3 linked regions of the Coturnix japonica genome follow. The protein of the gene in region 3 binds, or shares a complex with, the protein of the main gene of each other region. Links are inferred from orthologs where the notes say so. Each region holds a gene or a part of one and is shown on either strand. Other genes may lie near its edges.

Region 1 (4,536 bases), on a different chromosome or scaffold from region 3:
TCATGCCCTGCCAGCCCACTGTGAACTCTCCATAAATGTTCCTCAAGCAGTCAGGTGGTGCATGAGCACCATACAACCCCCCTATACGTTATGCAAGGTGGCTGAGTAATGAATTCCAGGTAAGCAAGGTCACTCCTAATGTCCGAAAGGAAAATGCTAATCACAGCTGTAAGGAGTGTGAGAGGATTGAGGTTTTTCTTGTATGACAATTTGTCAGTAATTAGTATGAAGTCATGTGGGGAAACTCACCCTTCATGTACATGGTGTGCTGCAGAGAAATTCACATTTCCTAAAATGAAACCTTGATCAGGGGAAACATTTCTAATCTATACATGTAACTGAGTGGTTACTCTTTACCCTTCATTCACTTGTATGATCTAATTTCTCATTGCAATCACTCAGTATAATGGAAGGGTCTTTCACTATCTCTCCTGCTCTCATGATCCAGGTTGGTCTTTTGGCAGATTTTTTAAGGCACTTTTTTCCACCTTTCTTGGAAAATGACTCCTCTGTAACTCCCAAGTTCTTGAAGTTGGGACAAGTTTCTGTACAAGTTTCAATTCACTGATTGTGCAGAGGTAGAACATCATGACAGGTGGTTTAGTGGCTTTGTTCCATAAGCCTGGAAATAATAATTTAGCCCATCTTCTCAAGTAGAATACTGCTGTGAAAGAAAGCATGTTGTTTTGCTTCTCACAAAGCAGTAAGTGTGGGGGAATGCATTGCTTGGCCTACTCAAGATACCCGATAACTGAGCAAAACAGTTCAGAGTGTGAAATGAAGGCAATGCTTTCTGTTGCTTATCTTCTGTCTTGTTTATTAAATAATGAGCCCTTTAGGGTCAGAACTCTCTTCTTATAGGAACACACAAAACCTAACACCTAAGTGCTCATTTTGGTTTGTGCTTCTGGTGGCTATTTTCCAAAATGGGCTTGTGGCAGAGAGGATAAAAGGCGACTAGACATGCATGCTGACTGGGCCACTGTTAAACAAATCCACAGTAAATCACCTTAAGGCAGCTGGTACTCGTACAAAAACCAGGAGACTATGTGCAGTTTCATATGCAGCTCTTCCCTGTGTGCCAGCAATGCATCCTTTCCTGATCAGGGCTGCAGGAAACCATCCCCTACACAGCTGCTCCTGTCACTGCCCTGGTGCTGCAGTGAATCTGTTGCTGCCTCATCAACAGCGTTCAGCCTGTGATGGCACAGACACTTGGGAATCTTGGGGACAGGTTTATTGTTTTTGTCTGTTATAGATACAGATCATGGATACATTTTCTAAAGCTCATATTGCATCTATCATTTCCCTCCATAATCTCCATTAAAGCCCACGGCACTGAACACAGTGACTATGGGCACATCCGAGAGTCCTGCAAGTCGCTGCAAGGGCTTTTCAGCCGTCTGTTCTGTGCGCTCACGGCAGGGCGCAATGCACGGCTTCCTGAGGTGAGCGACACTGATTAAATCGTCTTCAGCCATTGTTCTCATTGATACCAGAAACCTTAATCGGGACTGCAATTCCACCGAGCATCTCAAGCAGCACCAGCCGCCCAGCAGCGCCTCCTCCTCGCCCGTTCTCGATCACAGCCCGATGCCGGATGATCCCACGGCGGCTGCGCGAGTGCAGCCAATAGCCGCGGCGGCCCCAGCGGCGCTGCCGAGCCGATAAAAGGCGGTGGAGGGGCCGCCGTGTTCGTACGGCTGTGCTGGGACTCGTGCGTCGATGCTGGTGTTGAGCGCCGCCCGCCGCCTGCTGCGCCCGCCCGGGGAGCTGCTGCCGTCGGGGCTCTCCTGCATGCGGGCGGCCGGAGCCCGCGGCTGCAGCTCGGATGGAGCGGGTCCGCGCAACCCGCTGGTGTACCTGGACGTGGGCGCCGACAACCAGCCGCTGGGGCGCGTCGTGCTGGAGGTAGGTAGGGCAGGGAAAGCGGTGGAGGGCCGGCATGGCGGGCCGCAAGGTCACGGGAGGGCGGGGAGGTGATGGGAGCTGGGAGTACAGGGAGGAGCTGAGTGGCGGTTTGCAATCAGGGTGGGCAGCTGCTCCGGGCTCCGCTTTCACTCGGGAGCGCCCGTCTGTCGCCACCGAGGCGGATCGCGATGCCCGCCCCGTGTCTCTGCTGCCGCTTCACACCGGTCATTGCGCTGGGTTCTCCGTGTGGTTCCGCCCCGTCTCGGTTCTCCCTGTTAAGCCAGCGGCCGGCATCCGCTTGACGTGCTGCAGCGGGCAACTGCTGCATAGCAGAGTGAAGAGGCTGCGTGCCCGAGGACGATCCAGGGGCACAACCGGCCTTGGCCGTGCAGTGAGCGTGGGGTGGCTTTGCCCCCTGTGTCCTTATGTACTTACACATGTCTGTGTGGTTCATAAGGATATTTCCAAAATGATTTTATGTTCGGCTGGAGCTTCTTCATCCTGGGAAATGTCGGTATATATGTTAATTGCACTCTTACATTTGGGATGGTCAGAGGTTAAAGTCCTGCTGGGCAAGTTGCTTCTGTAACGTTCAGTGAATGTCTAGGTGATATTACATGCCCTGAATGCCATCTTTATCTGATGTTGCTTTTTCTAGATGGCGTATAGTGCTTGTCTTTAGGATTAGTGAAAAGCAGTGTAGCAGTCACAATCAGAAGTTCCTGCTTGTGGTGGCTGTGGATATGATGACATGAGTCAGTTTTGATACACAGTTTCTGTTCTTCTTTTTTCCTTTCTGTAAGGTTTCACAGATTGCCCTGTGCTAGTGAGAGCTTATTGCTCTGGTTATACTAGTGGGGCTTTTGTCCCTGCTGTCTGTCATAGGTTCCCCCTGATGTTTCAGTGTTTTCAGGGCTGTGTTCAGATATTGCTTAGATCAGTTATCATTAACTTGACCAAATCTGCAGAAGAAAGGATGCTGTTCACTAGTGACCATTACTTGCCCACACTGGGCAAACATTAGATTTTTGGGTGGCTTGTGATTTCCAACAGCTCATTTTTGGGTAAAAGGGTTTAGATGAACCAGCCTGTCACACAGAGGTTTTTCTGTGTATATCTAGACAAGCCAGCTAATTTCTGTTTTATTTTTCTCTTACAGCTGAAAGCCGATGTTGTTCCAAAGACAGCAGGTAAGGCAGCACCTTGTGATTTTCATACTTGAAGTGGGAAGAAGAATAATGTTCTGTGCTTCATGGAAACCATTTCCATCATCCTTTTCCAGCTGTTAAATAGAAAAATATGCACTGAACTTTATCAGGTGGTGCTGTGAGTGGGGTTATAGTCTACTGCTATTTCAAATGGTCTTTCTGCAATTACAAAATCAAACAGTACACTCCATGTTAGGCCAACACTGGTAAGTAAATAAGTTTCGAGACAAATTGCTTCCCATTGAAAATTAAACCACAAAAGAAATAGGAAAGGCAAGTGTAGGAGATGGTATCCCTTGCATTTGGATTCTCAGGCAGCATACGTGAGTTTGTCTTCCTTGCCACTAACTGGCTGTAGAATGGCTTGGGTTGAAAGCAGCCTCAGGGATCATCAAATTCCAACCCCCCACCACAGGCAGGGTTGCCAACTGCTGGGTCAACTATCCACGTGTGCTAGATCAGTGTGTCCATGTTGCAAAGTTTGTGTGCTTTTCCAGGTGCTTCCTGCCTTGTCTGCTTATTTCATGGTTCTAAAAAATGTGTGTTCTTTCAGTTCCCCATGGGTGAATTGTTGAAGGAAAGGTGTCATCTGCACAATTAATGTAGAGAGCAAAGGCATAAGATGCAAAAAATGAAACCTTTAATTTCACAGTGATGGGGCTTAGGACTATGATTAAGATACAGCAGTAAATAAAAGAGCAGTGTGGGGAGAGGGCATGTTTGTACTGTGCTCTGAGGCAGACTTCAGGCTTTGTATCTGTAGCTATAGAGCAGAGGATTTGAGGATGAAAGCGGTCATTTCAATAATACTGTCTTTTTTGGTTCATGAACTTTGGCCTAGTTAACTGTGTTTGAGTCTATGATATATCATGTATGGGGAAGATAATGTTTTATGTTTTGTTTTTCTAGAGAACTTTAGAGCACTTTGTACTGGTGAAAAAGGATTTGGTTATAAAGGATCCACCTTTCACAGAGTTATTCCTTCATTTATGTGCCAGGTAATGTTTACCATTTGGTTTTACTTCTGCTAATGTTGTCTGTATGCTCTTGATGTAGTTTTAGAACCAGTGATACCAGTAGTAACATTTTAAGTGCCTCTGCTCTCACTTTTGCTTCCTGCATTTCTGATCTTGCTGTGGCAGCTGCTTGGCGCGTTTTGTACAAATAGATGCAAATTCTGTATAGATTAGTTTTAAAAGAGAAAAAGCAACTTTGGCATAAGGCTCTGTGCTTTTATAGGAGTGTACTGAAGGTGGGGCACACTTGGTGACTGGCACTTGTTTGGGTGAACTGTTTATGGGTAGAATGACAAGCAGTCTTACCTCTGAAGCCAGCTCAGAAAATAGTGTGTCTAATTTCAGTGGCTTAATTTGTTCAGCAAACATTGTGATTCTGGGGAAAAAATAGGGAGGGGATG
Region 2 (3,222 bases), on a different chromosome or scaffold from region 3:
GGAGGAAAAGGCTGACAGCGCTGGCTTGTGCAGCAAGCTGTACAGGGTTATGTCCTGCTGCTTACACCTATTGCCCACTTATTGTCTGATCCCATCCCTGCCTGTGTTTTGATAGGCACTGCCAAAAGAAATAAAATCTTGTCACCCGAAGAGAGGAAGGTGGTGGCGTTCCACGAGTCGGGCCACGCGCTGGTTGGCTGGTTGCTGGAGCACACGGAGGCAGTGATGAAGGTAATGGTGGCACCAGCTGCTGCATCACGTTGTGTGTTGTTGGGTGGTAAGAGAATTCTTTGGGCTGCTGCTGCCCAGGGCGTGCTGGTTATTTTATAGCGCTTGAATTTAATCTTACTGTGTTCTGTGGTCTTGGAGCTGTAAACACAACAGCAACTTATAGTGCAAATACACTGTCAAGAAAAACAGGTTCATGTGATGATAGCGGTGGTCCAAAGCTGATTAATCAGCCACAGGGGAACTCTGGCATTTAAAATCTGACTGTAAAGCGCTCCCAGTGTCTGCTGGTTACCCAGTTGCTGGGCACATCGGGAGCAACTGAATCTTCTGGTGCTGCTGCTCAGTTCGTGCACTTGCTCCAAGCACAAAGCGCTGCTCTGTGTGCGTGTGTGCGTGCGTGATCTCTTTCTCTGCTGTGGTTTGCCAGCGTGTTGCAGCTACCAGTCAGGCCGTTAGAGAAACTGCTCTGATACTAATCGAAAGAGATGTGTTATTCAGATTGGCACGCCTAGGAGTTTGCCTGCCTGAAGCCCTTCTCTGTAAGGAAGGGCCCCCCTTTGGCACCCCAGGGTGTGTTCTGTCCCATGCACGTCCCCTCAAAGAGCCCTGACACAGGGGAGAGGTGGAGGGGTGGAAATGACAAGAATGACAGCTTCTTGGCCTACCACCAGCAGCAAATTCACTCTGAATGACCTATTGTATAAGCTGAACTGTTGTTAATTACTCTCCACAAAATGTGGCTGCATTTATAATGGGTGAGAGAATTGGGTCTTATTTTTCTGTAGACATCCTGTATGTTTGTTAGGTAGTCCCCGTGATTTTGGAACGTGGTTAAGTAAACTTCAACTGGCTTACATCCTCCAAAGCCACTCTTAAGTCCCAAGATTTCACTGGCCTGCTGTTCAGGGTAACTTCCTTCTTAATTCTTCTTCTAAAAGTGAGGAAAGCTTCTCTGCAGCTGTGAAGGCAGAGCCTTCAGTATGGGAATGGCAACTGCAGTTTGTGCCTGTGTAGGTTAGTGAGCAAGCCCCACTGCTTTTAACAAACATTCCTGGGAGGGCGGACCTCTTTGTGTTCTCTGCTGCTGTAGCTGAGAGCTCTTTTGTTCTCCAAACTGATGGAGCTGCTCTGTTTTGCAGGTTTCCATAGCCCCTCGAACAAATGCAGCTCTTGGATTTGCTCAGATCCTTCCAAGAGAGCAATACCTCTTCACCAGGGAGCAGCTGCTAGAGAGGATGTGCATGGCACTTGGAGGGAGAGTGTCTGAAGCCATCACATTTAACAAAGTCACCACAGGTGAGAGGACAGACCCTGACACGAGCAAGGGGAGGTCGTACTAAGAGTCTGAACTTTCATACTTGTTGCTCTGTCCAAGAGTAATGTGAAATGGGGGTTTCCCATCATTGGGAATGGGAAGGAGAAATTTCACAGTGCTTGTTTTAATCTCGGACTTGGGACTGTGAGCGTGAAGGCCTCTTATTGTGGATTCCAACTGTGTAGTCTCAGACTTGTCCCAAAGCCTGAGGCTACAGATGCAATTACACAGTGAGACTCTTGGCAGGTGGAAGAGCCTGGAGATTTCTGTGCCTTAGTTCCAACCATTTATAGCTAAACAGGATAAGAGTGGAGCAGTGGCAGGTAAGCAGTCCATATGAGCTAGCTACCAGTATATCACTCATTGTCCTGCAATGCACACAGTGAGGTAAAGTGCTCACATTCATGGATTCCTGCAGGTCCTCTAATCTCTTGACTGGTGGATTGTGTGTCTGTGCTGGACATACTCCTCTTGCTCTCATCTCAGACCTGCTGTACCTTCCTTCTGTCTGTCTCGCCCAGGAGCGCAGGATGACCTGAAGAGGGTGACCAAGATAGCCTACTCCATGGTGAAGCAGTATGGGATGGTGCCCAGCATCGGGCAGATCTCCTTTCCGGATGGGGACAGCACTGTTGGAATTGGCCGTCGCCCTTTCAGCCAGAGCCTTCAGCAGATGATGGACCACGTAAGGCTGCTCCTGGTCACCTGTTCCTCTTTGTTCTTTACTTTCTGTCCTCATTGAAAATTGCATGGAACTTGTACCCAAATGCTTTGCATTTTCTTTTTTGTTCAGCCATTAAGTAGTAAAATTCAACAACTGAGCACTGAGATACTCTGTTAGCCTGGTACTGTTCTGTGTATGAGGACTGCTCAGCGAGGCATTAAGAACAAAGTCACACACAGCTGTGAGTTCAGCCCAGCAGCACTGCGCTGCCTGGAGCTGCCGTGAGTGGTTGTGAAATACAGTCTGTTCTATCCATTGCAGTGTGAAAGCTGCAGTCTTGATTCTTTTGTGGACAAGACCCTGGAGAGCTTGTGGGAGGTATAGATGTGACTTGGAAAGGGGGAGAAATGCTCTGCAGAGTGGGGAGAAAGAATAACTTGAAGGAGATGGAGCTGGGGGGGGAGCATTGTTATGGAACTGAGGACAGATAACCAGGGAAGGAAAGGTTCTGCTGTGTGGAGGTCTCTCCTCCTTTTTTGTCCACTTGCAATACAAATCTCTCTTCTTATCTTCTAGGAAGCAAAAGTGCTGGTGGCTCAGGCCTACAGACGCACGGAAAAACTCCTATTGGACAACCGAGATAAGTTGCAAACGGTAAGCTGAAGTTAGGTGGAGTTCCTTCAACTGTTGGTTTTGGCCTTGATACTTTCTGTGCTCTGTAGCTTGGTTGTAGCAGTGTCTCTGTGGTCCTAGAATGCCTTGTAATGGGGATTCCAGGGCTTGTTTTGGGACTGCTGAATTGGTAGACTGGTGCTTTCCAGGTACCTCCAGGCAATTTTCACCTGCCAGCTCCTTGATACTCAATATATGAAGGAGGCCTTATTGCAGAAGTAGAGCTTTGTCTCCTCTGCTTTGTGCCTGGGGAGTCCCCTGGCCACTCAGCTCCCTTCCAGGATCTCTTTTTAAACAACAGCAGAAAAACAGCCACTTCCACCTACCCACCAGCAGGCTT
Region 3 (4,039 bases):
AGGCGGAAGATCCTCACGTGGTGATACCAGCATTGGTTGGTGTCACAGCCTGATGCGGTTCCTCCCAGCCCATGTATCATAGAGATGCGTCCCTTGGCATCTGCTGTGCACCAGAGCTGTAGTGCTCATCCTCACGGGCACAGGGAGCAGAAGCATTTAGACCTGTGGGTATCAGTCAAGGAATGCTGCGCAGGTTCAAGTTTATTAGGAAAAATGTGACTAGAGTAACATTAAATCCAGCCTTTTTGTTTTCTTAACCTCAAATCTGATAGACTCCCATTGTCCTGTTGGAAGCTTAATCATCCATTGGTTATATTCTTAATTTTTTTTGAGAGCTCCTCCCCTCGTTTAAGTGTCATGTAGTTGATCAGTCTGTGTAGGGAAGCATCAAGTAAGAGAGTAACCCATCACAGAGACAGACTCACATTTACAAAGGACTCCCTGATGGCTTTTGCTGTCTGCTGGGGCCAAGTTTGCTTTCATCCCCAGACCCACCCTGCAGAGTGAAACTGCCATCTGTGACACTGGGAAATATTTCAGTGCCTTCTGCTGGGCTGCCTTGTGTTCAGAGAAATCTTGGCTGGGGCTGTGGGTGCCTCAGTCACGACTCGCATGGCAGTGTTACCCATTCAAGAACATGGAAATATTTTACTACTTAAACATGTAGTACGTGACCTCCCTGGTCTGCTTTGTGCTGGAGCTGGTATATGTGGTCACTCTGAGATGCTTGCACAATTGGAGAAGGATGAGAGCAATGATTTCATTTCACTCCTACCCTAATCTGAGTTAATGTGCTGAGATCCTACTGGTGAAAAGCAAGGGCACTTGGCCACGGCCATGCCTTGATCCTTTAAGAGTTTGAATCCCCGCTAAGCATGCTTGTCTTCCAACCTGCACTCACACAGGATGTAATCAGTTTTGTTTTCCATCTGTTAAACAAGAGGCTTTGATTAGCCCATGCAAACAGAAATAATTATTTTTCTTCTTGCTGATGATGACAACAGCAGAGTTAACCAGCACGTGCATATTTCATCACCTTTCCCACACTCGCAATTGCAAGCACCTTGTTCTGTGTGTTTTACCTGATTTGCCTTACAACAGGGATTTGGCTTCCAGTATTGTCCCTTAATTATAGTAATTGCCTAAGTGGAGATCTCAGCATCTCCTGCTGTCCCGTGGCAGCCCTGTCTGTGCTGCAGCCTGACCTGGCCTGTCCACCTGGCAAATACAAACGCTCTGCTCAGCCCAACCCAAACTCACAAGGCTTCCAATTTTCGAGGAAATAGTTTGATTTTTATGGAGTGACTCAAAGGGGCTGCTGGTAAAATATGTCTGATAGATGCCAATGTGCAGCTGGAGGAGCAGTGTGGTCTGATTGTCCAATGGAGAGATTGTAGCATTCTGAATTTTTGATGATGCTAAATGGAAATACCCATCAGAGGGTTCTCCTGAGACCGGGCTGCTCTGGCTGGGAAGATGCATTCCTCAGCCTTAGTGACCCATCCCTCCATATCCTGTGCTGGGGGCCCTATTAATTCCACTGAGCTCTGCCCCAGGCTGTGATCTCCAGCTCGTGGTGCTGTGCTCTTGGGGACCTCAGTTGAGGAGCAGAGGATCTCCTCAGAGATGTTTTTAAGTACTTGGTTTGTTCATTGGTGGATTTCTAAAGGATGGTTTTGTGTTTCCAGAATCACACCTGATCCGCTGTTGAGATGGTTTGTCCTGTAGAGAGCAGTGCTTGCAAACTTTAAATCCCAGCATTCACAATTCTGTAAGAAATGGAGACATTTAGGCCTGATGTGATCCAAAGATCAGTGATGCAGTGGCACAGCTGGCTGGGGGTTGGGAGGTGGGAGTCCCCAACCCTGGTGGTGTTCCAGAGCTGTGGGGATGTGGCACTGGGGGACACAGTGGGGTGGGGTTGGACTCAGTCACCTTGGAAGTCCTTTCCAACCTTAATGATTCTGTGATTCCACGCAGGTAATGTCCCCAGCTGAAGCTGCACTGCAGCGTGCACTTTGCTTTCAGTGCGTTCTGTGAACATCGTTGGCTTTGATTCAGCCACCAGATCCAGTTTGTTCCCTCCAGGATAGGGATTCCTCGCTTATGCAATAGCAATATCCTGCTTCAACAGGCAACGGCTTGTTGGGCCAAGCAGCTGCCCAAAGGAATGCCTATCTGCAGCTCGTGGGGTGGTACCTGCCCAAAGAGGCTGCAGGCTGTGGCAAGGCTGCGTCCCTGGTGCTCACAGCCGGCTGCTCTGCTTGTGGCTGAAGGGAAGAGCTTGCTGCTTAGGTTGGCTGGAGCTGTGCTGCAGTGAGAGCCAGCTCTACATGTGTGGTTCATCTTCACATTTATAAAATGAAGTCTTGCATAAAAAGGCAGGAGGTGGACATCTTATCACTTCACTTTGCATCCCTAGAACAAATGAATATGGGTTTGGATGGTTTGTTCCTCTCAGGATCACGTGTAGCATCCATTCAGTCCTCGTTCTTCTCAACAAGTTTGTTTTTTCCCTAGAAAAGCACCTCCAGGTCAATGGCTAAAGAGAAATTGTATCTGTTCACAGCAATTCTGGAGTCAAAGAAAATGGAAGGTGAAGGATGCCCGTTTGTTGAGTTTGCTAACATCAATGTTAGCCATTTGCTGCTGTCAGTTAGGGACGGGTGGGAGCTGCAGCTGCTGGATGTCTGTGCTGGTTACATTCGCTGAGCAGATGACCTTGGGGTTCTAATTCCTTGCATCAGAATGCATAGATCGGTTGCAAGAAATGGGAGAAATGTTTCCTAGAAGTTGATTAAAAAGTTATTCATTCATGTGGTTCTAGTGATAAGGGCACAGCTGGTAACCCTTTGGAAAGGCATGGGCAACTTATGTGGGTTTTGGGGGTTCTTTTTAATGTATTTGTTCTGTAGTGTTTAGTGTTTCTCATCCTCAGTGGTAAATGCGTGTTTATCACATAGCAAAAGGACAAACTCAAACCTCAGCATTTGCTGTAGCTGCTTTCTTCAGCCTGTACTTAATTGATGGGTTTAGATAGAAAATAAAACCATCTGAAACTGAGGAATTTGGTTTAATTGCTTTTTGCTTAATCAAATTAAATAAACAGCTTTCTGAACATAGTAACTGTGCCCTCTTTTTTTCCTTCCCCCCCAGAAAATGGCTGTTCCACCTGCTTATGCTGATCTGGGCAAGTCTGCCAGAGATGTGTTCACCAAAGGATATGGTAAATAAAGCCAAATTAAGTTTCACCTTTCTCTGATTCTTGAAACTGTTACGATTTTGTTACTTTTCTCTGATAAATATTCCACTAATTTCCATTAGAATCCAAGGGTTCCCATATCCTACCTTCACATTGCCATGGCTGCCTGCAAAGGGAGGTGACTTATTCTTGCTGGCACAAAGATCTTCGTGTTCCCCGTAGGTCTGTTGTCTGCTTTGAAAGCAAACAGAGTGTTGTATTTTGGCTGCTTCCATCCATCGTGAATAGGACTATTGATGTCAGTAATTTCCTAGGGAAAAAGCTGCTGCTCACTATGAATGAAGGCATTCTTACCTAGGCTGCTCCTGGTGCTGTGGCAGGGCAGCAGGATCACTGCAGGCAGTGCTGTCTGAAGGCAGTGTGAGCTGTGTAAGCTGCTGCTTTACAACTTGGGATTCAGCACCCGTGTTGTGCTTTTTGTTATGTTTTATTTTGTTTTAATAGTTGGCAGCAGATTTAGAAAGGAGCTTTGAGGAGTAAATCAGGCGTGCTTTTCAAATTAACCTATATATAATTCATGTTTTCTTTCATCTTCTAGGTTTTGGGTTAATAAAACTAGATTTGAAAACAAAATCTGAGAATGGACTGGTAAGTGTGGGCAGGGACTGAAATCCCAAACACGGCAGTGTTCCTATGTCTGCCCTGTATTCCTTTTTAAAAATAGAAGTGTGTCTTCCTTGATCTCCCCATATCAGCTTTCAGTTATACTATAGCCCTGCAGGCTGCCATGCCTTTATGGTGCAGCTCTGCGCAGGATTTGGAGCAGGCTCTGCAGGG

What was found.
Region 1: VDAC1 (region 3) and PPIF share a complex: the UniProt entries of both Homo sapiens proteins name them as parts of the mitochondrial permeability transition pore complex. The link is inferred for Coturnix japonica from reciprocal best matches to the Homo sapiens genes VDAC1 and PPIF.
Region 2: VDAC1 (region 3) and SPG7 share a complex: the UniProt entries of both Homo sapiens proteins name them as parts of the mitochondrial permeability transition pore complex. The link is inferred for Coturnix japonica from reciprocal best matches to the Homo sapiens genes VDAC1 and SPG7.

Annotation. Positions count from the first base shown.
Region 1 is NC_029521.1:10,018,437-10,022,972, reverse strand, and holds the start of PPIF (peptidyl-prolyl cis-trans isomerase F, mitochondrial), read left to right. Parts: upstream 1-1,668; 5' UTR 1,669-1,725; coding exon 1,726-1,911; intron 1,912-3,070; coding exon 3,071-3,101; intron 3,102-4,028; coding exon 4,029-4,117; intron 4,118-4,536. UniProt on the Homo sapiens protein: PPIase that catalyzes the cis-trans isomerization of proline imidic peptide bonds in oligopeptides and may therefore assist protein folding. Involved in regulation of the mitochondrial permeability transition pore (mPTP).
Region 2 is NC_029526.1:16,690,931-16,694,152, forward strand, and holds part of SPG7 (paraplegin), read left to right. Parts: intron 1-115; coding exon 116-231; intron 232-1,370; coding exon 1,371-1,527; intron 1,528-2,067; coding exon 2,068-2,231; intron 2,232-2,786; coding exon 2,787-2,864; intron 2,865-3,222. UniProt on the Homo sapiens protein: Catalytic component of the m-AAA protease, a protease that plays a key role in proteostasis of inner mitochondrial membrane proteins, and which is essential for axonal and neuron development.
Region 3 is NC_029528.1:2,137,276-2,141,314, reverse strand, and holds part of VDAC1 (voltage-dependent anion-selective channel protein 1), read left to right. Parts: intron 1-3,156; 5' UTR 3,157-3,159; coding exon 3,160-3,226; intron 3,227-3,800; coding exon 3,801-3,850; intron 3,851-4,039. UniProt on the Homo sapiens protein: Non-selective voltage-gated ion channel that mediates the transport of anions and cations through the mitochondrion outer membrane and plasma membrane.